Linked DNA regions of Oryctolagus cuniculus. The protein of the gene in region 2 purifies or fractionates together with the protein of the main gene of each other region. This does not show direct contact. Links are inferred from orthologs where the notes say so. Each region holds a gene or a part of one and is shown on either strand. Other genes may lie near its edges. The genes, in order: KPNA1, CTDSPL2, KPNA2 and STK35.

Region 1 (5,115 bases), on a different chromosome or scaffold from region 2:
CCTAAGGTGAGCTCCAATTTAATGAGGACCTTGATCAGGACCACAAAGCCTGAAACATTTCTTTAGTGCAGAAACACAACCTCTAGTCACACTGGTTGAGTCTGGGAAAACTAGAGGGATATTTTATATTTTTGTTTTTCTTATTTTTGTATTGAATAATAGGATATGGTTTTTTGATCACTAAGATTCTAAATCTTCATATCAATGTTAGAATTGAACCACTTCCAAATCCTAAGACACATTAAGACCAGAGAAGCCATACAAATTAATATGTGCTCCTCTTCATTCTGCTTTAAGGGAATCTGCAAACCTGTGTCACATTTAAGAGTCAAAGTGTTAATTCTTCAGCATTCCTGACAACTAGAAAGCACATTCACTGAAGGCTGAAGGTGAGGGAATGGATGGTTTAACTTTAATATCTGTAGAATGGCGCCAATAGAGGAAAGAAAACCATCCAATCTCAGTAAGGATTAATGCAAATTTGGCTAGAAAAAGCCGCCAGGTAATCCAAGGGTTCAGTGTGGAAGAACTCATGAGAAGTACTCTGAAGTATATGCATCGGGTCTAAACATTACCCTTGTCGCAAGTAGCTGTGAGAAATTCAAGATAAAGGTTTAGTTTCATCTTTAATGTCAGTATTTCTTTTCCCCACTTTAAAGGGAATGAGGAGTCCTCTTTTTCCCCTACAAAAAAAGGGAGCCACACTAATGTGTGTATTCCCATGATTCTAATAAGTGCAGATCTCCAAAGCCTAGGGATTTTTCCATAAGAGAGTGGGCCGTTCTGGTTACCCTTTTATTAGAAGGGTATTCCACCACAGAGAGCCAGAGGTTTTCCAATGTGTGTAAAGAGCAGGTGCGCAAGGCAAGCAAATGAGCGCAAACAGTATTATGGAAAACATTTGAGAAGTTAGCTCCATGAGGACTGTGGGCTCCACAAGAGGACTTGACTGGGTAGCCTGGTGTGACACAGGAACAAGAAAGCAGAGTATTGCTTCAAAGCTGGAAACCTTCCATAGGAGCCTCACACTGCTGGAAGATGTACTGCTGCTGGCTAAGGTCAACCTGGGGTGCAATGCTGCTGTCCTCATCTTCGGTCCCAAAGTAATGCTCAATAAGATCAAAGGCCTTCTGGTAGATCTCTTGGTTTTCATGACTCTGTAAGAATTCAATTTTATCCAGACCTAGAAAGAATAAAGGAAAATCTTTATGAAAAACTTCAGGTAAGCTACATTTTACTGTATGTTTCCTTCTTCGATGTAAAGCAGGGGTGGGGTGTATTCCGCTCGTGGGCCACATAAGGCTGGTGAAATCTTTTGGTGTAGCCCTGACAAGGCAACTGCAGGTGACAAAAAATCCAATTAATCTACAGCAGACTAACTAATTTTAAGTTGATAATTTTGTATGCCCTACAGATGATGTTATAAATATCCAATGGCCCTTGGCAGAAAAACGGTCTCCCACACCTGATATAAAGGTAGATTCTCTAATACCTCAAGTGATACCACAGAAATGATTCCTGGAATTACATCTGAAAGCTATACTATAGACTGCCATCTTAAAAATACAGAGAAAAAGGGGCCAGCATGTGCCATAGTGGGTAAAGCTGCTGCCTACAATGCCAGCATCCCACATATGCGCCAGTTCAAGTGCTGGATGGTACAAGTGCTTGGGCCCTACACCCATGTGGCAGACCCGGAAGAAGCTCCTGGCTCCTGGCTTTGGACTGGCCCAGCTCTGGCCGTTGCAGCCATTTGGGGAGTAAACCAGTGGATGGAAGATCTCTCTCTCTCCCTTCCTCTCTCTGTAAACTCTGCCCTTTAAATAAATAAAAATAAATCTTAACAACAACAAAATAGAAAAGTAACATCCAGTCTGTAAAAGCAACAATTTCCATAAAAGCAGTCATTATATCCCCCAGTGCCTAGCAGTGGTGTTAATGTTGTTACTGAACTATATTTATGGCCCAATTAATTCTTTGCCATAAACTTTTTTTTTTTTTTTGACAGGCAGAGTGGACAGTGAGAGAGAGACAGAGAGAAAGGTCTTCCTTTGCCGTTGGTTCACCCTCCAATGGCCACCGCGGCTGGCGCGCTGCAGCCGGTGCACCACGCTGATCCGATGGCAGGAGCCAGGTACTTCTCCTGGTCTCCCATAGGGTGCAGGGCCCAAGCACTTGGGCCATCCTCCACTGCACTCCCTGGCCACAGCAGAGAGCTGGCCTGGAAGAGGGGCAACCGGGACAGAATCTGGCGCCCCGACCGGGACTAGAACCCGGTGTGCCGGCGCCGCAAGGCGGAGAATTAGCCTAGTGAGCCACGGCGCTGGCCTGACATAAACTTCTTCAATCAAAGCATCTTACCATAAGCCTCTTCAATCAAAGCACAGTAAGGATTAATGCCAGTGCCGTTCCTTTTGGCTTCTTGTTCTCCAAGCCTTAGGATGTTTTCCAAGCCATTCAGGGCAACCTGGACAATCTTAGAGTCCATGACTGTGAGGAGATCACAGAGCGGCTTGATACAACCCAGTTCTACCAGATACCTAAAGTTAATACAAAGAACAATTTAATCAAACAAGACTTTACGTTTCATAAAACTTTTACAAAATGTGTGAATCATCCTTCTCAACTCACTGCAGAGAAAATAAGGCTACAACTTGCTACACATAAGTTAATCAAAGCCAGCCTGTGGCTGGTTTATTTCTCCCCAGTTTTTGGATTCTAAAAAACTGGGATACTTTCCTGCTTTGACTATAAGCAGCTCATCAAAACAATATAGTTTTGATTAACTTCCTCTTCGTTTCTGTAGGTAGTCATACCTCTCAAACATGACATACTTGGTGCTTAAATCAGCACAAGCCCAAAGGCCAAATATTCCAAACACGATTAGCATCTTACTAAACAAGTTGCAAAAAGGCCATATGGAATTATAAAACAAATGTAAGGACGCCTCTAGAGCCAGTATTTTTCCTTTAATCCAGATAGAATATAATCAAGATTAAATGATGAAACAGCGATATGAGATCTCTACACCATAATCACAGCAGATATTCATGTCCTTTTGTATCATTCTGGTTTCTCCTGTGTGTAGAGAGGCGGAGATGATGAATCTGGTTGCATTCTGTGGATGTGAATAGTATCATTTTGAACTTACTATTATAAGTGCTAATCTATATTTTTAAGTTTCAAAAATATATAAAAATAAATCTCTGGCTAGGCAAACCAACCTTAAGAAAAAGACAAATTACTGGGATCACAAAAGAAAAAACGGTCATCATTTATGACTCTGTGGACATTAACAGGGCAATAAAGAAATATTACAAACAACTCTATACCCACAAATTTGACAACTAGGACAATAAAACAAATCAACTTCTTGAAAGATGTAAACTGGGAGGGTTGCGGGTGGGAGGGAAGTCATGGGGGGGTGGGGGGAGCCAATGTAATCCATAAGCTGTACTTTGGAAATCTATATTCATTAAATAAAAGTTTAAAAAGATAGATGTAAACTACCAAAAATCACAAGGAGAAATGGATAATTTTAATAGGTCTATATGTATTAAACTCAGTCAATACTGAATAACCTTCCAAACTACAAAGCACCAGGAGATGGTTTCACTGGTGAATTTTAACCAAACATTTAAAGACAAAATGAAACTTGTTCTACCATTCCTTCTAGAAAACAGAAGAGAGAGAAGACTTCTTGGCTTATTTCATGATGCCAGCATTTCCTTAATACCAAAACTAACTTTGTTTCTGCTTAGAATGCAAAATAGGATAACTTTTTAGGAATATAGCCTAGCAGTTTCTTAATAGATGTCTTTTATCAGTGATGGCATCGATTTATTTTCTATAATTTGGACTGTAATATTTTTAAAAAATTCTTTCAAGTTGGGCAAGAAGAGATCACTAGGAAATTGATAATTAACACATTATAAATATGGTGAGTTTCAAAGAGGGATGACAGTAGGCACGTGGCACAGCAGTTTAAGCCACAGATTCAGACACCAGCTTGCCACACTGCTCAAGTCCCAGCCACTCTACTTCACGTCCAGCTTCTTCTTAATACGTCCTGGGGGATAGCAGATGATGGCTCAAGTGCTTAGGTCCCTACCACCCATGTAAGACATCCAGATGGAGTTTCCAGCTCCTAACTTCAGCCTGGCCCAACCCCTGCTACTGCAGGCATTCAGAGAGTAAACCAGAGGATGGAAGATCTCTCTCCCCCTCTCCCTCCTTCCATCTTTCCCTCTTTCTGCCTTTCAAGTAGATGAGAATAAACAAACATTAAAACCAAAAAAGTTGGGGGTGGCATAGCAGGTTAAGCCACTTCTTACAACCTCATCATCCTGTATCAGAGCACTTTCTCAGGTCCCAGCTGTTCTGCTTCTGATCCAGCTTCCTGCTATGTTTGTCTGATAAAGTCAGGTTCCCCTATTCTCGTCATCATTACTTGTTTTCTATTTGAGAATTTTTTCCTATCTTCATCCAGAATTTAGCATTTAATTATATGATGCACCTTTGAGGAACCAATTCTTTTTTTTTTTTTAAGATTTTAAAAATTTATTTATTTGACAGGTAGAGTTACAGACAGTGCAAGAGAGAGACAGAGAGAAAGGTCTTCCTTCCATTGGTTCACTCTCCAGATGGCCGCAACGGCTGGAGCTGTGCTGATCCGAAGCCAGGAGCCAGGTGCTTCCTCCTGGTCTCCTATGCGGGTATGGGGGCCCAAGCACTTGGGCCACCTTCTACTGCTTTCCCAGGCCATCAGCAGAAAGCCGGACTGGAAGAGGAGCAGCGGGACAAGAACCAGCACCCACATGGGATGCTGGTGCCACAGATGGAGGATTAACCTAGTGCGCCACGGCGCTGGCCCCATGGAGGAACCAATTCTTGGCCACATATATGCCTTCTCTACCCTTTAAGATTATAAGCTACTACCAAGTGAACCATTTAAATCTCAAACTACTACAGATCTCTCCCTTTATTGAATACCATAATATTTTAGAAGACAACTGCTTCTTCTGAATTTGGCATACCTCTATTTCAGGTTTGGTCCAAATCTACTATTAATATATCTAATCTAGAAATAACAACAGTTACCTATTAAAATTGGGT
Region 2 (5,115 bases):
TTGAATGGTGAAAATAAATAAATTTTTAAACCTGAAAACTCTTGAGGAGTTCATGATAACAGCAGACAGACGCTCTTTAAAGGATACAAAGACCAAATGTATTTATTCACTGTGACATCCATATCCTCACTTCTTTCGGGATTGGAGGGAGGTGAATGTGTGTGGAATTTTTTTTAACAGTTTCATGATGCTTCATTTCCTTTTGTCTCTGAGATAATGCATGTCATAATTCCTTTTTAACATCTAGAGAAATAAAAGTTTTATCAACAGAAAGGTTCTTAAACCCCCCCCTCCCCCCAAGACTGAATTTATCTTCCATGGAAAGAAAATGTTAACATGAACCCAGTTGTCAACTATAATTGATTAAATCATTTGGGCCGTCCAGCGCTGAACTCAGCTATTTGTGCCCCTGGCCAGCAGACATATTGTGTTTCTTGGTTAGTCAGGAGTGCCTTGGGTGATTTTTAAAACATTTTGAAAATTAGTTCCATTAATTTTTTTTTCTTTCCTTTCATTTATTTTTAAAAAGTCACAACCAGGCAAATCGAGAAAAATACTGTTGTCTTCAACTCATTTTGTGGGAAGTGACAGGAGAGTTCCATTAATTTTGTCAGCTAAAGTCAGATATTAAGACTGAAGCATTCTTCCTACATCCTGAAGATGTAGGAATTTTTAACCAAGAGCTAACAGATGACACAAAAGGTTCATAAAATCTTTGATAGCTAGGCATTAATTTTTTGAATACTTTCTCCCATATTGTCTTAGTGGAAAATTCTAAATTTAAATTTCTACTATTACTAGTACTTTTATTATTGAGTAGTTGTAACTAAGCTGCCAGCACACATGAGAAATGCTGTTTCCTAGTCACAAAAGTACATTGTAGTTTATTGTTATTTTACCTAGCTTTGGTAAAAGCATGCAAATGATTTTGCGTTGATGGTTTCAGACATTCTAAAGATTTTAGTTCAACATTTCTAACCTTCCAAAGGAACAGTGGTGAGCAGTACAAGCCCCTTTCCCTTTTAGAGAGTTCATTTGAGTAGGGAACAGATCATAGTCATGCTATTACAATGTGTTATAAAATCAACACCCTCTTTTAAACTACATTTACAAAATCTACACAACTGAGAGTTTAAACTTGTTTTATTTAGTTGTTTAGAAAACCTCAAAGATGAAAAGCTTTTTGGATGGAGATTGAATTTGTTAAGAGTGCTGTTGGGATTATCTGTATTGGTGACAGAGTAGATGTGCAGAAATTCTTCTAATTTCTGAATCCTTTGAGTTAAAATGCAGATTTGTTGACATAGAGGATCTGTTCTTAGATGACTGGCATAAGAAGTTTTTTCTAAACTTTTAAGTATTTGTTTTGACCATAAGGTTATTGACTAATTAAAGGGTTTTTAGTGTAATTTAATTGAAATAACTGCAGTGTCTATTTACTTCATTGTTTCTTGTTTGAGTTTGCTACTACTAGTGAAGGGACATTAACAGTGAGTTGCATTTACTTGCTATACCTGCCTACTCTTATTTTTTTCAAAGTGGAAATGCCTTTTAACTTTCCATAGACAGGTGACGATTTGACCAATTGAAAATATTTCTTATAATAGTGGGTGAAAGAACTGTTGTACATTTTGTCTGTTTGCAAAATTCATCCTCTTTTCCACTACCACTATTTATACTTTTAAGGCTGAGTGTCTATTTATGCGTGTTGGGAGGTATTAAAAATACTTATTTTTTGACAAACTGTGACAGATTTTATGAGTAGAAAGTCATATAATTTCATACTATAGGTATGACTAGGCTATAGCTATCAGAAATTATTGGGACTAAGAAACAGGGAAGACAAACTAACAATTATTAATGTACAGAATGGGGTATTTCAGTATGAAAAAATGATTAGTAATATAAAGGGGCTAATATTTTGAGTGTAAATGGTGATTCTGTAATTACTATTGTATATGAGTATTGTAAAACCTTTAATAGCTTTTTCAAATGCTACAGCATTTTTCTCCTTATCTAAAATTGGTAAAACATCAGTCTACATTTATAATACTTAAATCTGAATTCATCATTTTTCAATCCCTGTTTTTTCAAATGATCACATACACACTCCCACAAATTAAAATAGGATTGTTTATAAAAAGTTGACAGGATGGAATGTTTTGGCCTTAGTACCTTTTCTGAAAAACTATAAGGAAAAGCTAAAAAAGAATTCTTAAAAATGCCAACACAAAAACATTCCTTTTTATATTTTCTATTCTGGCATGTACAGGGATAGGGAGGCTGTGTGTTCTACTGGTTTAGAGCAAAGGACTGGGAGCCAGGAGGATCCTGGGTTCCAATGCGGGGCTAACCACTGACTTTGTGTGTGACCTTGGGCAAGTCACTTGATCTCCTTGTGCCTCAGTCAACCATCTGGAAAATTGGTTATAAAGCAGGACCTCGCTGACAACCAGATGCTGCATCTGAGCTGAGCTTTCCTGGGTAAATAAATTACAAAAACGATTTAGATTTTTTTTTTAACCTCCTCCTTTATAATTTAACAGTTTGGGATAAACTAGTTTTTAAAGTCATAGTAATATTTGGTATACAGTTTCAGTAATTGCTGTGAATTTTATAGTAAAACTGTAGCCCAGAGCCTAGGCCCATATTTGTATTTTAATTTCTTTTCTGAAAGAAAATAATAAGGGCTAGCTAGTAAAGCCTATGATATATATATATATATGTGTATATGTTTCCATGTATGTTGTACTTTATAGAGTTTTTTTTAATTATTTTTTTTTTTTACATTTAGGCATCGGCTTTTCCGTGAACATTGTGTTTGTGTACAAGGAAACTATATAAAGGACTTAAATATCCTTGGAAGAGATCTTTCAAAAACTATAATAATTGACAACTCACCGCAAGCCTTTGCATATCAGGTAGGAATAGAGTTGCTAAATAAATTCAGATTGGAAAAAATTCAATGAAGACAAATGCTGCTAAACAGACTATGAATATGATGGGAGAACAACAGAATTTTCACTGATGGACTTCGCTGATTAGGGTGTCATCTTTTAGAATTAGAAATGCCAAATTGGTATATTCTTTGTGGAAAATTTTTCTGAATGCAACATAAATGAAGGAAAACCTGAGTAGTACATCTGAATAGGATGGAACTATAATATATCTATTGCTTAATAATTTTTCTTAACAGCTGCTAATCATAAACGTGTTGGAGTTATGATTGGTTTAACTTTTTTTTTTTTCTGGTCTGTTTAACCTTTTGAAAGATTTTTCTTAGACTATTTTGTTAACATATTTGTGCCCTCTGTTAATATTTCTTTGAAAAGCAACTACAACTAAAGATGAGCAATCTTTGTAAAATATATTTTACTTTCCGAACATGTCCATGTGATACAATTTCTGAGAGTGGCTTCATGATAAATTAGCAGAGTAGGAAAACTGAAAAATGGATTAGGGTATAGATGAGACAAGATTGGTCCTTTGTTTCAAAATGTCTGTAATAAAACTTATTTTTTTAATGTAAAGAATTGTATATGGTATTGAAATGTGTTCACTTCGGGTCTCTGCTTTTATTTGCTTGCATTTTAAAACATGTTTTTAAGAATTTTATCTTGTTTTCCTAGGTACAGTCATTTCAGTTATCCTCTATCTCAAACATGATGTTTAGCCTGAATTTAAATATAAAGAAACAAAAATGATTTACATTCTTGTTTTTAGATTTCTCTTCCGTGAAACACCATGGAATCCATTTGTTCAGTTCCTACTGTGTTTCAGGTTATGCTAGTTGTTAGGAGTAGAACAATAAATATGACATAGTCCCTGTATAAAAAAAATGATTAAATAAAAGGTGTATGCTTTCTGCTAGTGTTCTATGTAGTAACTATTTCTTGAATGAATGAATAAAGATATGGTTTAAGCTGTGATGGTCCTAAACTTGATTTAATGGAGCTCTCTTGTTTAGTTTTATGCTTACCAAGGAAAAGTGACACTGAAAACCAATTAGGCTTTGTTAACATCTGTCCCTTGCACTATTGACTTGTAAGAGACAACTCTGGAAGCGTTCCTTTTCATAAGAACTTTTAAGAATCAATAATTTTATTGTATCTTTTTTATGCTTTCCATACCAGGCAAAATATAAGTAAAAGGAACATTTAATTACTTATTTATCATTTCAGCTTTCTAATGGAATCCCTATAGAAAGCTGGTTTATGGATAAAAATGACAATGAACTTCTAAAATTGATTCCATTTCTGGAGAAGCTTGTAGAACTGGTAAGTGTATCTTACAGTTTATATTTTTATATTTTGGTTTTCTTAATTATATTAAAACAATTTAAAAATAATTTATTTAAAAGGTAGAGCCACTGAGAGAAGGAAAGACAGATCTTCCATCTGCAGCTTCATTCCCTAATGGCTATAATGGCCAGGGCTGTGCCAGGAGTCCAGAGCCTCTTCTGTGTCTCCCACATGGGTGGCAGGGGCCCAAGCACTTGAGCCATTTTCTGTTGCTTTTCCAGGCACACCAGCAGGGAGCTGAATTGGAAGTAGCGCAGTATAGCTGGGACTTGAACCGGTGCCCACATGGGTTGCCGGCATAGCAGGTGACAGCTTAACCCACTATGTCACAATGCTGGCCCTCCAACAAATCTTTTTAAATTTTTTCACTTTATGTGTAGTGAAATTTAATGATCAACTATAGTGAGGGATTGAGGCATAGTTTGAAAAGGACTATGAGTATGTTCAAACCTTATATATTATATTAAAATTATAGATATAAGTGTTTTAAAATGTGTAGATTGTTTTTAATTGACAATTACAATATGCTCTTTCAAGTCACTAAAAGGTATGTTAGAAATAACATTAAATTGATTTCACTTTGCTTTCATAATTCTCATCTAGAATTAATGCTTATGTCACTGAAACTTTATTCAGGAAATTATTTTTCTACATGCATGGATCAATTGTAAGACTAATGTAGAAAGAATAATTCAGTGGATTAACACTTTTTCCTGTCTTCTAGTTTGGCCTCTTATAGCTTAATTTTTCTTAGAAAATTAAAACTTCAGAGAAAGTTTTTTAAATCTGGAATTTAGTTCTAAGTTAACTGTGT
Region 3 (5,684 bases), on a different chromosome or scaffold from region 2:
GTACAAATACTTATTTGAAAGAAAGAGGGGCCAGCGCTGTGGCCTAGTAGGTTAATCCTCTGCCTGCAGTGCCGGCATCCCATATGGGCGCCGTTTCTAGTAGTCCCAGCTGCTCCACTTCCTATCCAGCTCTCTGCTATGGCCTGGAAAAGCAACAGAAGATGGCCCAAGTGCTTGGGCTCCTGCACTTGCCTGGGAGACCTCTGGCTGTTGCAGCCAAGTGGGGACTGAACCAGCAGATTTAAGACCTCTCCGTCTCTCTCTCTCTGTTTGTAACTCTAATTCTCAAGGAAATAAATTTTTTTAAAATTTATTTGGCAGGTAGAGTTATAGACAGTGAGAGAGACAGAGAGAAAGATCTTCCTTCCGCTGGTTCACTCCCCAAATGGCCGCTACGGCCGGTGCTGCGCCAATCAGAAACCAGGAGCCAGGTGCTTCCTCCTGGTCTCCCATGCGGGTGCAGGGCCCAAAGATTTGAGCCATCCTCCACTGTCCTCCCAGGCCACAGCAGAGAGCTGGACTGGAAGAGGAGCAACCAGTTCTAGAACCCGGCGCCCATATGGGATGCCGGCGCTGCAGGTGGAGGATTAACCAAGTGAGCCACAGTGCAGGCCCCAAGGAAATAAATATTTTAAAAAAATAATAAAAATGCAGCCTCAAAAAAAAACAGAAAAAGTAGAAAAAAGAAAGAAAGAGATATAGAGAGCTTCCATCCTCTGGTTCATTCTCCAAATGCCCTCAATAGCTGGGGCTGAACAAGCCAAAGCCGGGAGCCTGGAATTCAAAGCTGGTTTCACGTGGGCGGCGGGGACCCAAGTATTTCAGCCATCGCCTGCTGCCCCGGGGTGTGCCTCAGCAGGAAGCTCTACCAGAAGCAGGCCTGAGACTCAAAGGCAGACACTGATGCGGGACGTAGGCATCCCAAGTGGCATCTCAGACACTAGGTCACTCCCCTGTCTCTATACCTTCTTTGTATTTCTTATCAAAAGTTGTCTTTGTTTTTTAAAGTTTTGCTCTTTATACTTTTGTTAAAAGCAAACAATCACATACACTGTCCCGGGTCTACTCAGGGTCTAGGCATCACTGAGGTCTCAGGGACATGAATGGAGCCGTCACCTCCCATGACAGCAATGGCCTCCGGAAGACCTGCACGAGGCTCCTCCCGAGGGGCTGCTCTGAAACACGCATGTCCGTCCGTGGAGAATTTCCCTTCCATCGCAGACCAGCGGGAAGCAGCTAACGTGCCATGACATTCCTTCCTACCGACAGAAACCTCTCAGCGTTCACGTCCATATTTTCAAGCTCTTTCAGGAGTTTGCCAAGTTTCACAAAAGCTTCTGCTAAAACTGTCACTGTCAATTTCTTGGAGGTTCGTTTCCCCCTATAAGTTCCCTTTTCTTGCCTCTTCTTCAGCTATATACTCATGTACCAATTCCGTTACCACTTCGTCAGATCCCATGATGCTGAAGTCCACTGTTGACCAAAACGTTATATGGTATGATTGTGTTTCGGGAAAAAAGTATATGGTACAGAATGAAGCCAAAGATAAATTACAAGCTACTGTTAAGATCTCAGGAGGGAAAAGATGTGAACAAATAAAAGAAATGGAGAACACCAGAAGAGGCAGAAACCCATCAGGAAGTGGTTGGCTCTGGACGCGCCAGCCAACAGCGGAGCGGTCGGGTCAAGACAGCCCCGCAGCCGGCACGCGAAGGGGAGTCAGAAATCTTCACAGAGGTGACCATTAAAGCCCAACACCAGGAACGGAACTGAGATGTCAGAAACACGCCGAGCCGCTGCAGAACCTACCTGGTTGTTGCGGTTTTCCTGCAGCGGCGAAGTCGCATCGTCGGGAAAGGAGCTCACGTTCCTCCTCTTCAGCATCTGGTCATCCTTCTTGGCCTTCCTCAGCTCCACGTTCACTTCTATTCGGCGCCGTCTCATTTCCTTGAGACAAGACACACATCCCCTCACCTATCCGACTTTGTTGCAAAAAAAAAAAAAAAAAGGAAAAAGCTTCCCGTCCCCCCCCTTCCCACCCCAGCTCCTGTCTTGCAGCTCCCACGGGGAAGCAGCAGGTACTCACGGTGCTGTCCTTCCCCTTGTTCTTGAATCTGTGGAGCCGGGCGGCCGGTGAGTTGGCATTCTCATTGGTGGACATGGCGACGAGACCGAAGGAATCAGCTGGAAGGCAGGAAGGGCAACACTCCGGTTTCCCAGTCTGCTTTGTCCAACGGAACCCCAAGGGCAGGAAGCCCAGCAACCCCCACCCTGCAGGAGGAACGCCAGGCCGTCGCTCCTACAACCCCCCCCCCTCCGAGGGTCCAAGCCCCCCTGGAGCAGCACTGCCCACCCTTTGCCCGGCACCACACTGACAAGGCCAAAGGGGGAATGATCCACTGCTTAACACAACTGTCCAAAACACTATCGCTTCCACATACAGAGGGATCGTTCACTCTATCCCATCTCGCGTCTCTGGACGCTCACGCCCCTTCCCCAGCGCCCCCGTCCCGGGCAGGGAGGCTCCGGGCCAGGCCCCCGACAGCCCACCACGGACGAGGGCAGCGGCAGTGAACGCAGACCCTCGGGGGCCAGCAGGGACCCCCGCCGCGCTCGCGGGCAGGCAAACCACCACCCCGGGCACCCCGACCCCGCCGAGCCTGCCCCGGCGTTCCCCGCGAACGCCGCCCACCCGCAGCGCGGGGCCGCGCCTCGGCGGCGCGCACACGTCTACACTGCCAGAGCCTGGACTCGCGGGGGCCGCGGCCGGGGCGACCCCGCACCGCCGGAACCTCCGTGTTCACTCGGCCCCAACCGCCACCTCCGCCCCCGCCCCAGGGACGACGCGGCGGGGCCCGCCGAGGCGAGGCCGGCGCCCCGGCCCTTCCGCCGGCCTCTCGCCCTCCAGCCCGCCGCGCTCCGGCTTTCGCCGCCGCCTCCCGAACCTCGGCGCCCCGGAGCCCCAGCTTCCGCGCCGCCCACTAAGCCGCCGCGACACTCAACGACGCCCCGAAGGCCTCATCCGCGAGGGAGGCCACAGCCGGGCCCAGCGCGTACCCGCGGCCTCCCCTCCCGCCATCCGCAAGCCGAGCGCGGCCTCCCGGGCAGCCGTTACCGCCCGCGCCGGGCTGCGGCCTCACGCTGTACCTGCACAGCCGACGCAGGCTTCCCCAGGAGGCGGTGCGTGTCCACAGACTGCCGGTCAGCCGCCCTGCAAACGTCTACCGCGGATCAGCCCTGAGACGGTGTGCCTCGTGCAGCCGGCCGGCGCGATTTAAATTTCCCGGTGGCTCCGCGTTCCGATTGGCCAGTTCGAGCCTAAGCTTTGTACCCATTGGTGGATTTAAAAAACACGTTAGAAGGGGAGGAGGGTCAGAGGGCCTAGAAGCGGAGTATAGCCTCGCGAGATGAAGGAGCGGTCGGGCGATATCCCAGAGCGCCTTGCAGGCCGGAGTGGGAGGACTACAGATCCCGGCATGCCGCGCGATGGGGCGGCTCCCAGCCCCGTCTGTCAACCTCCACTGACTGCGCGTTTCCGCGCATTGCTCCTTGGTCGTTTTTTTGTTTGTTCGTTTTTGAGCGGCTGGGTTAAGCAAATACCGAGAAAATGAAAAAACTCTGCTGTGACCTTGAGGATCCAATGTATCAATAAATTCTTACAATTTTTTTTAAAAAGTTCTCAAGACATCATACCTAAAACAGTTGTGTGAAGGGCATTTCGCGTCGTTTTGAGGGTAGAACCGGAGGAACCGGGCGAGGCTTTCGGCCGCGGACGGAGCGGGGAGTAAAGCACCCTGCCGTCGGAATTTTTGGGTCTTTTTAATTGCGTCATAAGAGGCTGTAGAAGCTTCGGCGATGGTAACAAACGGTTTATGATGTCTGCTTCTCCCAACACGTTTTACAAATTTTTAATGTCAAAGAATTGCTAATCTTCACCCAGATTTGCCAGATGCTGACATTTTGCGATATTTACAGGGAAACACCCGTTTTTCTGTGCATGTGCGTGTATATTTGGAACCATTTGAAAGTTTCAAAAAGCATGTCCTACCCTAACATTTTAGAATGCGTCTCCCGGGGGAGAGAGCTTATCTTTCGTTGATACAATCACACAGCAGTCATCCAATTCAGGAAAACTGAACTCTCCTGGTATTACTTATCATATTCTGTGTTCAGCTTTGCCAGTTGTCCCAGGAACGGTCTATGTTGTATTTAATGCATTTCCAAATAAAATCTGCAGTTTTTGTCATGTTCTTTCTTTTTAACCAGTAAGGATGGTTGTTAGCATCAGGATTATGAGCCATTTGTTTTCTTTCTGCTATTCTTCTGTGTTCTAAAGGAAACTTGCATTGATCCTTTTACTATAAAATAATTTCAAACTGAACTTTGCCAATTCTTGCAGGAACCGACGCCTGCTCCCTTGTAGCACAGCAGCCAAGGGGCTCACAGGAGCTGCTCTTACTCCCACTCGGCGTATCCCCATGCCCCTCCGTGCAAGAATGTGGAAGGAATTCCTCCCGACCCAATCAGCGCAGGGCCTCCTCTTGGCTGCCGGGAATGGTTCGGGGCCGGCACATGACCTAAATTCATCCAGTTGGGAAGCCTATGCCTTTTGTTTAATTCTTGGAGGTGGGAAAGCAGCTCTGATCTGAATAGAAGGCTGGGAGTCCTGAGACTCTGAATAACCAAGTTGTAAAGAAGCTGAGCTCTGGGCAGCAGCCTGCCTCACCTCCGCAGGTACGCAGGACCCAATGCTGTTACTTCAGTTCCTTTCGCTTGAAAATACCGATTATGAGATAGGAATTTGATGCAGCACAGCGGAGTGCCGGGTTTGACTTCTGGATACGCCACTTCCGAACCAGCTTCTTGCTGATGTACACCATGGCAGGCAGAGGTGAAGGTTCAAGTACATTGCGCTGTCACACATGGCTTCAATTTGGCCCAGCCCTGGCTGTTAACTGGTGTTTGGGAAGTAAACCAGTGGTTGGAAGTGCTCTCTCACATTCTCTCTCTCTCTGTTCCTGACATTCAAACCCAGTGAAAATAAATCAATAAGCATATACTTTTAAAAACATTGAGCAGTCACTAGGCTAATCCTCTGCCTTGCGGCGCCGGCACACCAGGTTCTAGTCCCGGTCGGGGTGCCAGATTCTGTCCCGGTTGCCCCTCTTCCAGGCCAGCTCTCTGCTGTGGCCAGGGAGTGCAGTGGAGGATGGCCCAAGTGCTTGGGCCCTGCACCCCATGGGAGACCAGGAGAAGCACCTGGCTCCTGCCATCGGATCAGCGCGGTGCGCCGGTGGCAGCATGCCGGCTGCGGCGGCCATTGGAGGGTGAACCAACGGCAAAGGAAGACCTTTCTCTCTGTCTCTCTCTCTCACTGTCCACTCTGCCTGCCAAAAAAAAAAAAAAAAACAAAAAAACATTGAGCAGTATGTTCCCAGAAGATTCTAAGTGTTACACACACAGGGATGGAGTTAAGTGAGCGGGCACTTAGCCCAGTAGGCCAGCAGGTAGCACACAGGTGGCCCGCAGGGAAGGGCCGTTGTGGAGTGTCGCTCCAGGGCACCGGGTGAACTGGGAAAGCCCCTAAGCTAAGGGCTGTGCAGCCTTCTCAGCTCCGCCCAGAAATGCAGATTACCCGGCTGGGAACACCTGTTGGACCACTGGGAAGCTCACCTGCAGTCGCA
Region 4 (5,115 bases), on a different chromosome or scaffold from region 2:
TTCCCCTTTTCCCATAATTCACGCTCAATCCAGCAGGAAACCCTGTTGGATCTGAGTTCCAAGTTTACCAAATCCCTTCACCACCTCACCTCTGCACTGCTTGGAGCCGCCAACATCTCTCACCTGGATTGTCAAGGTCATTTCCCATCTCAGCCCTCACCTGCTGCCTTACGTTCTTTTTAGCGCAGGAGACGGAGACCAGATTATGCCACGACTGTAAGCACCAGTGGATTTTCACCTCTCCCCAAAATAAAAGCCGGACTTGACTCCTGGTTACCTCCCTACCCTCTTTTCTTGTCTGCTCCACCTCTCTTGCCTTTACCCTGGCTGTGATCTGTTTGGGACACTCTTCCCTAAGAAATCCAAGACTCACTACCTCAACTCCTTATTTTTCTTCCAAGATCCCACCCTGAACCCTTCCATTTAAAAGCACAACCCTCACCGCCCAGCACTTAGCACTTCCTAATAAATTGCCTATGCCTACTATCTGCCTGACTTCCCAATTGAATGGAAGCCCTACAAATGCAAAGAATGCTGTCAGTCTTGTTCACTGAAATACCACCTGTGCCTACAATGGTACCTGGCAAAAGTGTGGGAAAAAATGCACTAAATGAATAGATGGATCAAGCCTCTCATTCTACCTGGCCAGATACAGGTCACCCACACCACCGACTTGAAGCTTTTGGCACCACAAGGTTTGGCTCTGGGCACACAGACTCGGGCCCAGGATCACAACTCTAAATGCCCACCCAGAACTGGGAAGGACAGGCTATAGTCAAATTGGCACCACTGGTACTTAAACTCGTAATCTATCAGAGCCACACAATTCAGTTGAGACGCTTACCTGTAGCTACATTCCTAGTTCCTAATCTTTTCTCCTGTTTAAGGCCACCTGTTGTCCTAGATGAAGGAATCATCCCTCTTGAGAAAGAACTTCACCCTGCAAAGCAGCACAAATCCCAAGTGCTGTGCCCAAACAGAAGCCCTGATCTCAACATGTTGTGACAACTCCATAATCCTAACCCAAACCCAGGTGCCTCTTCCCATGACAACCTTCTTGCTGCACCAGAGTAAACCTGAATTCTAGATTCTTTCAAAAGCAGAAAAGGAGATGGAAATGGGACGTGACAGCACGAAACGTAATTAAAATGCCGTCTAGCCTAGTCTTGTGGCTTGTAACATACCGCTACTCCAAACCTAGCTGTGGGGAATGTTGTTCTCTCACTCAGTGGGTAGCTGGACAAATTGGCCTGACACCTGGAAGGTACTCAATAAATGTCTGTGGAATGGAGAATTCAAGCTAGTGACTCACTCCAGAAATACGCACTCTGAGAGCACCACAGACATAACCAGGCTCAACTTGGTGTGAGCCAACTGCACCAATTAACGAGGCTGAGGAAGAGAAAGGAGAGCCTCGCAGTGACCCAGGTGACGCAAGGCCCTGTGCTGAGATGCCCGAGGCCTCTCCCTTTGTGGTCACTGGGGTCAGCACTGTCTCCCACTATCTGGGAGTCTCATTTCCAGTTTGGCAAGTTGATGTTAAGGAAAAGGCAGCTCAGAGTAAGACAAACCTGTCCTTAACTCAGCAGGGCTTGAGCCTTGCAGGGCTGTGAAGGTGAACCATGTGGAAACACCTGCCCCGTGCCGGGAGCCATCTTACTTCCCTTGCCCATACTAGGACCCTGCTCTGGTCCGCAGAATGACTGCTGCTGCTCTTGGTACACGCTTTCGTCTGTCCAGTGCGCCAGGCTCCTGCCGGCTCCTGGCCCCACACAGAGGTGGGTCCTTCTACCTAACACACCTCTGCCCTAATCCCGGTTCTTGCCTCTGGACACTACCAGCCCTTCTCCCCACCCTTTTAAGGAATGTTAAGGCCAAGTTCACACAACACTTCACTTTAAAACAACTGTAACTGATGTCTCTCCCCAGCTCAGCTGCAGAACTCATGGGGATGGGGAATGTTTCTGATTGGGTTGATCACGTAACCCACAAGCCTAGACAAATGAAAAGTCCGCCACACATCTAGTAAGCAGAGGCTTCCACATGAGTATCCACTGTAGTATGTACAATGGAGAAACAGCCTGCTACCTGAACTAGAATGGTTCAAGTAGGGTACCCAAAATGGGATGTCACACTCAGGAAACTGAAATCCACGCTCAAGTGTGATGGGAGAAGGCTCCAAAGAGTGCAAAGTACAGGGAGCAACGTTCCATATAACTACAAGGCTTAAACTCTGCGGAACTGGATCTGATGACAGGGACAGGATCAGGGACGGTATTTACCCACTGAAAATAGCATTTTCTACAGCGAGCAATGATTACTTGATGGTGGGAACAAGAGCTTCTTAAGAACCTTAAGGGACAGCTCCAACGCAACCTGCTCTCAGACTTCTCTAGACTTTACGGCTTATATTCAAATAACCCCACTCTCTCCTGGTCAAGACTTGGGGAGATGGTGGAGAACAAGCACTCGGATCTCTTGCACCCCCCTCCCCGCCCCGCCCAACTCCAGCGTAAAAGCTCGGTCCAGCAAGCGTTCGTGTTCAAGCACCGAACAAGGAGAGTACTCACCTAGTTTAAAACACCCAAGATGCTCAGCCCTGAATTTTAAGCAGCACATGTGACCTGGTCCATTCTGGTTTCAAGTTCAAAGGCATCAGGCCGGTCCTGTGGGTTAGCAGCTAACATGTCTTTCAAGAGCTGCTTGATCCCCTCAGACATGGAAGTCCTACGTTTCTGGGGGATGTGCAACTCCATCTTTGGGTTTTCTAGCAGCGCCTCGCCAACAGGGACGATCTCAGTGCCCTGTTTGATGTAGGTCCCCAGGAGCTCCTTCTTGGTCTCAGAGTCAATAAAAGTGATTCTCTCTATCATTGCCCAGATGATAATGCCCAGGGCAAAGATGTCCGCCTTGGCCGTGTAGTGCCCCTCCCAGACTTCGGGAGCCATGTAGAAGTCCGAGCCGCAGGCAGAGGACAGCCAGTACTTGTTCACATTCACATTTTTGTTGTCTGGATTGCCCTCTCTGCCACGGGGTGCCAGCCCGGCACAGACCTTGCTCAGTCCAAAGTCTGCCACCTTGAGGATGGGGGTGCCCGACCGCTCGGTGATGAGAATGTTGTCCGGCTTTAGGTCCCTGTGCACGATGTGGTTTTTGTGCAGGAAGGCAATGGCACTGGTGAGCTGTAGCATGAAGCTTTTGTTGGTGGCGGGATCCGGCCTCCGAGACAGGACATACTGATTCAGGTCTCCACCTTCACAGAACTCCATGACAAACCAGAGATAGCACGGCTCCTCCGCGTAGCCCAGGATCCTTTCTCCTGGATCAAAGACAGGAAGGAGCGCGAGTGAGACGGACACACGGGCACAGCACTATTAGAATAAAAGAACGCAGCGTTTTAAAGTTCAGAGTGACAGAGGTGATGAACAAGAGGTGCTCCAAGAACACCTGCATAGCAGGTACCACACCTGTGCCTTTCACACACAGGCCTGTTTCTACCCACAGCAGACAAGGTCAATACACAGGCATGAGGCTCCGATCAAGCACTGGAGTTTGGAATCAAGTTGAGGTAGGAACTCAGTTCTCTGCTGTTTGGTGGACTAAGAAGCTATGTTTTCCTTGTGTGGTCTTCAAGCAAGCAGCTCCCGCCCATCCCTCCCAGGGTACTGGCCATGACACAGGTAAGGCAAGAGAGACAGCCATTAGATGTCCACGGCTTCTGTCACTGTTACTCCGTGCCAGGCAGATGACCTTCCCTCTCCTCTCTGTTGACCTGTAGAAGGATTCTCATGAACACATCTGGACTAGCACTACCACTCTGCTTACTTCTGAATCACCCTCCAATCCATCAGTGGACTCTGCTAGCCCACCAGACGCCTAGCACGGGCTGGGCACATAAAGAGCCCCATCTACAGGAAGCTGAGTGACAAGGACCTACAACAGCGGGCCATACCTGCATCAAGGTCAACTTCTAGGAACAGTGAAGGGTGGGCAGGAGTCCCCAGGTCTGAGGACGTCATCGGCTGCAGGACAGGCAGCAGTGTAGCAGGAGGCAAGAAGGGAATTCTAGACCAAGAGACGAACTGGACAACAGAACACGGGGACAAAGGAATGGAAAGGAAGTCCGCTGGGAACAGTGGCATCTGAATTAAGTTGTGTGGTCTTGAAACTCCAGGAAAGCTGGTGACTAATTCCTCTACGTAAATCTCAACTGAGGCAGATGAGGAAGCTGGACTGCAAGGGAAGGGACCTGCCCTGCATGGTCACTGGGCATCTGGACCTCAGCCAGGACCTGAGTCCTCCAGGCCCCCGCATGCTGTACCCATTATAGCAAAAACAAGGGCTACACCTTCTCAGGAAGACTCTGCCAGAAGGTTCCTCCCACTAGACTTTTATTCGACTTTATTACAAAGAGAACCAGGTACACGACTAACCCAGTAGCCCCGGAGCTCCAGGCTGAGACCAGAGATGACCTGACATGCAAGACAAAAGCTTTAGGTTTGTGACCACAATCTGACAGGCCTCACTTCCCTTGTCATTATATAATTTTCTTGTTTCTATTACTCTCAATCAGAGTAATACAGGTAGAACCAGTTTAGGGCAGATGGGTTTCTTTTTTTAAAAAATCAGTTGCTTCCTCTCTCATAATCCTCTTTCTAGGTCATTGGCTGAGTGGGTCGAGGTGCTGGATCTAAAAACACCAGAAAATGAAGCAGCGATTTGAAACACAGATCAGCGTCAGTTGAAGAGCAAAGATCTGTTAAGGGGGAAGCAAGAAACGTCTCCTGGTGGCAAAGCCAGAAAGGAGTTTAAAAGCCATCAAATTCCTGCTGAAGGGCCTGGTCAGAAAACACTGAAACTTCGGGTGGGGGAATAAAGGGTGGGGAACGACATTATTTTATATACAAAGTTGGTAACCATGGTAACTGAAGTAGAAAGAAAACAAGTCTGCAAAACAGACTGAAGCATAGGGCTAGATTATGAGAATCCAAGGGAAGACAAAAAGGCGTGCACATACACACACTCACAAGTGCCCTGCATTAGTGAGTGGGTGGGGGAGACGGGCCCCTGGAAGGAGACGCCTGCTCTGAGTAAGTCAGCTAAGCTCAGGAGATG

The links.
Region 1: the proteins of CTDSPL2 (region 2) and KPNA1 purify together in Homo sapiens (affinity purification with mass spectrometry; 3 studies listed by BioGRID and IntAct, with this or other methods). This does not show direct contact. The link is inferred for Oryctolagus cuniculus from reciprocal best matches to the Homo sapiens genes CTDSPL2 and KPNA1.
Region 3: the proteins of CTDSPL2 (region 2) and KPNA2 purify together in Homo sapiens (affinity purification with mass spectrometry; 4 studies listed by BioGRID and IntAct, with this or other methods). This does not show direct contact. The link is inferred for Oryctolagus cuniculus from reciprocal best matches to the Homo sapiens genes CTDSPL2 and KPNA2.
Region 4: the proteins of CTDSPL2 (region 2) and STK35 purify together in Homo sapiens (affinity purification with mass spectrometry; 3 studies listed by BioGRID and IntAct, counting the BioPlex papers as one, with this or other methods). This does not show direct contact. The link is inferred for Oryctolagus cuniculus from reciprocal best matches to the Homo sapiens genes CTDSPL2 and STK35.

Annotation. Positions count from the first base shown.
Region 1 is NC_091435.1:78,642,483-78,647,597, forward strand, and holds part of KPNA1 (importin subunit alpha-5), read right to left. Parts: intron 2,541-5,115; coding exon 2,362-2,540; intron 1,184-2,361; coding exon 996-1,183; 3' UTR 1-995. UniProt on the Homo sapiens protein: Functions in nuclear protein import as an adapter protein for nuclear receptor KPNB1. Binds specifically and directly to substrates containing either a simple or bipartite NLS motif.
Region 2 is NC_091443.1:67,451,706-67,456,820, forward strand, and holds part of CTDSPL2 (CTD small phosphatase-like protein 2), read left to right. Parts: intron 1-2,794; coding exon 2,795-2,921; intron 2,922-4,181; coding exon 4,182-4,277; intron 4,278-5,115. UniProt on the Homo sapiens protein: Probable phosphatase.
Region 3 is NC_091448.1:13,973,079-13,978,762, reverse strand, and holds the start of KPNA2 (importin subunit alpha-1), read right to left. Parts: upstream 3,829-5,684; 5' UTR 3,694-3,828; intron 3,456-3,693; exon of another isoform or gene 3,324-3,455; 5' UTR 3,080-3,323; coding exon 3,058-3,079; exon of another isoform or gene 2,946-3,057; intron 2,712-2,945; exon of another isoform or gene 2,693-2,711; intron 2,600-2,692; exon of another isoform or gene 2,442-2,599; intron 2,185-2,441; coding exon 2,087-2,184; intron 1,948-2,086; coding exon 1,810-1,947; intron 1-1,809.
Region 4 is NC_091442.1:27,789,385-27,794,499, reverse strand, and holds part of STK35 (serine/threonine-protein kinase 35), read right to left. Parts: intron 3,320-5,115; coding exon 2,607-3,319; 3' UTR 2,571-2,606; intron 1-2,570.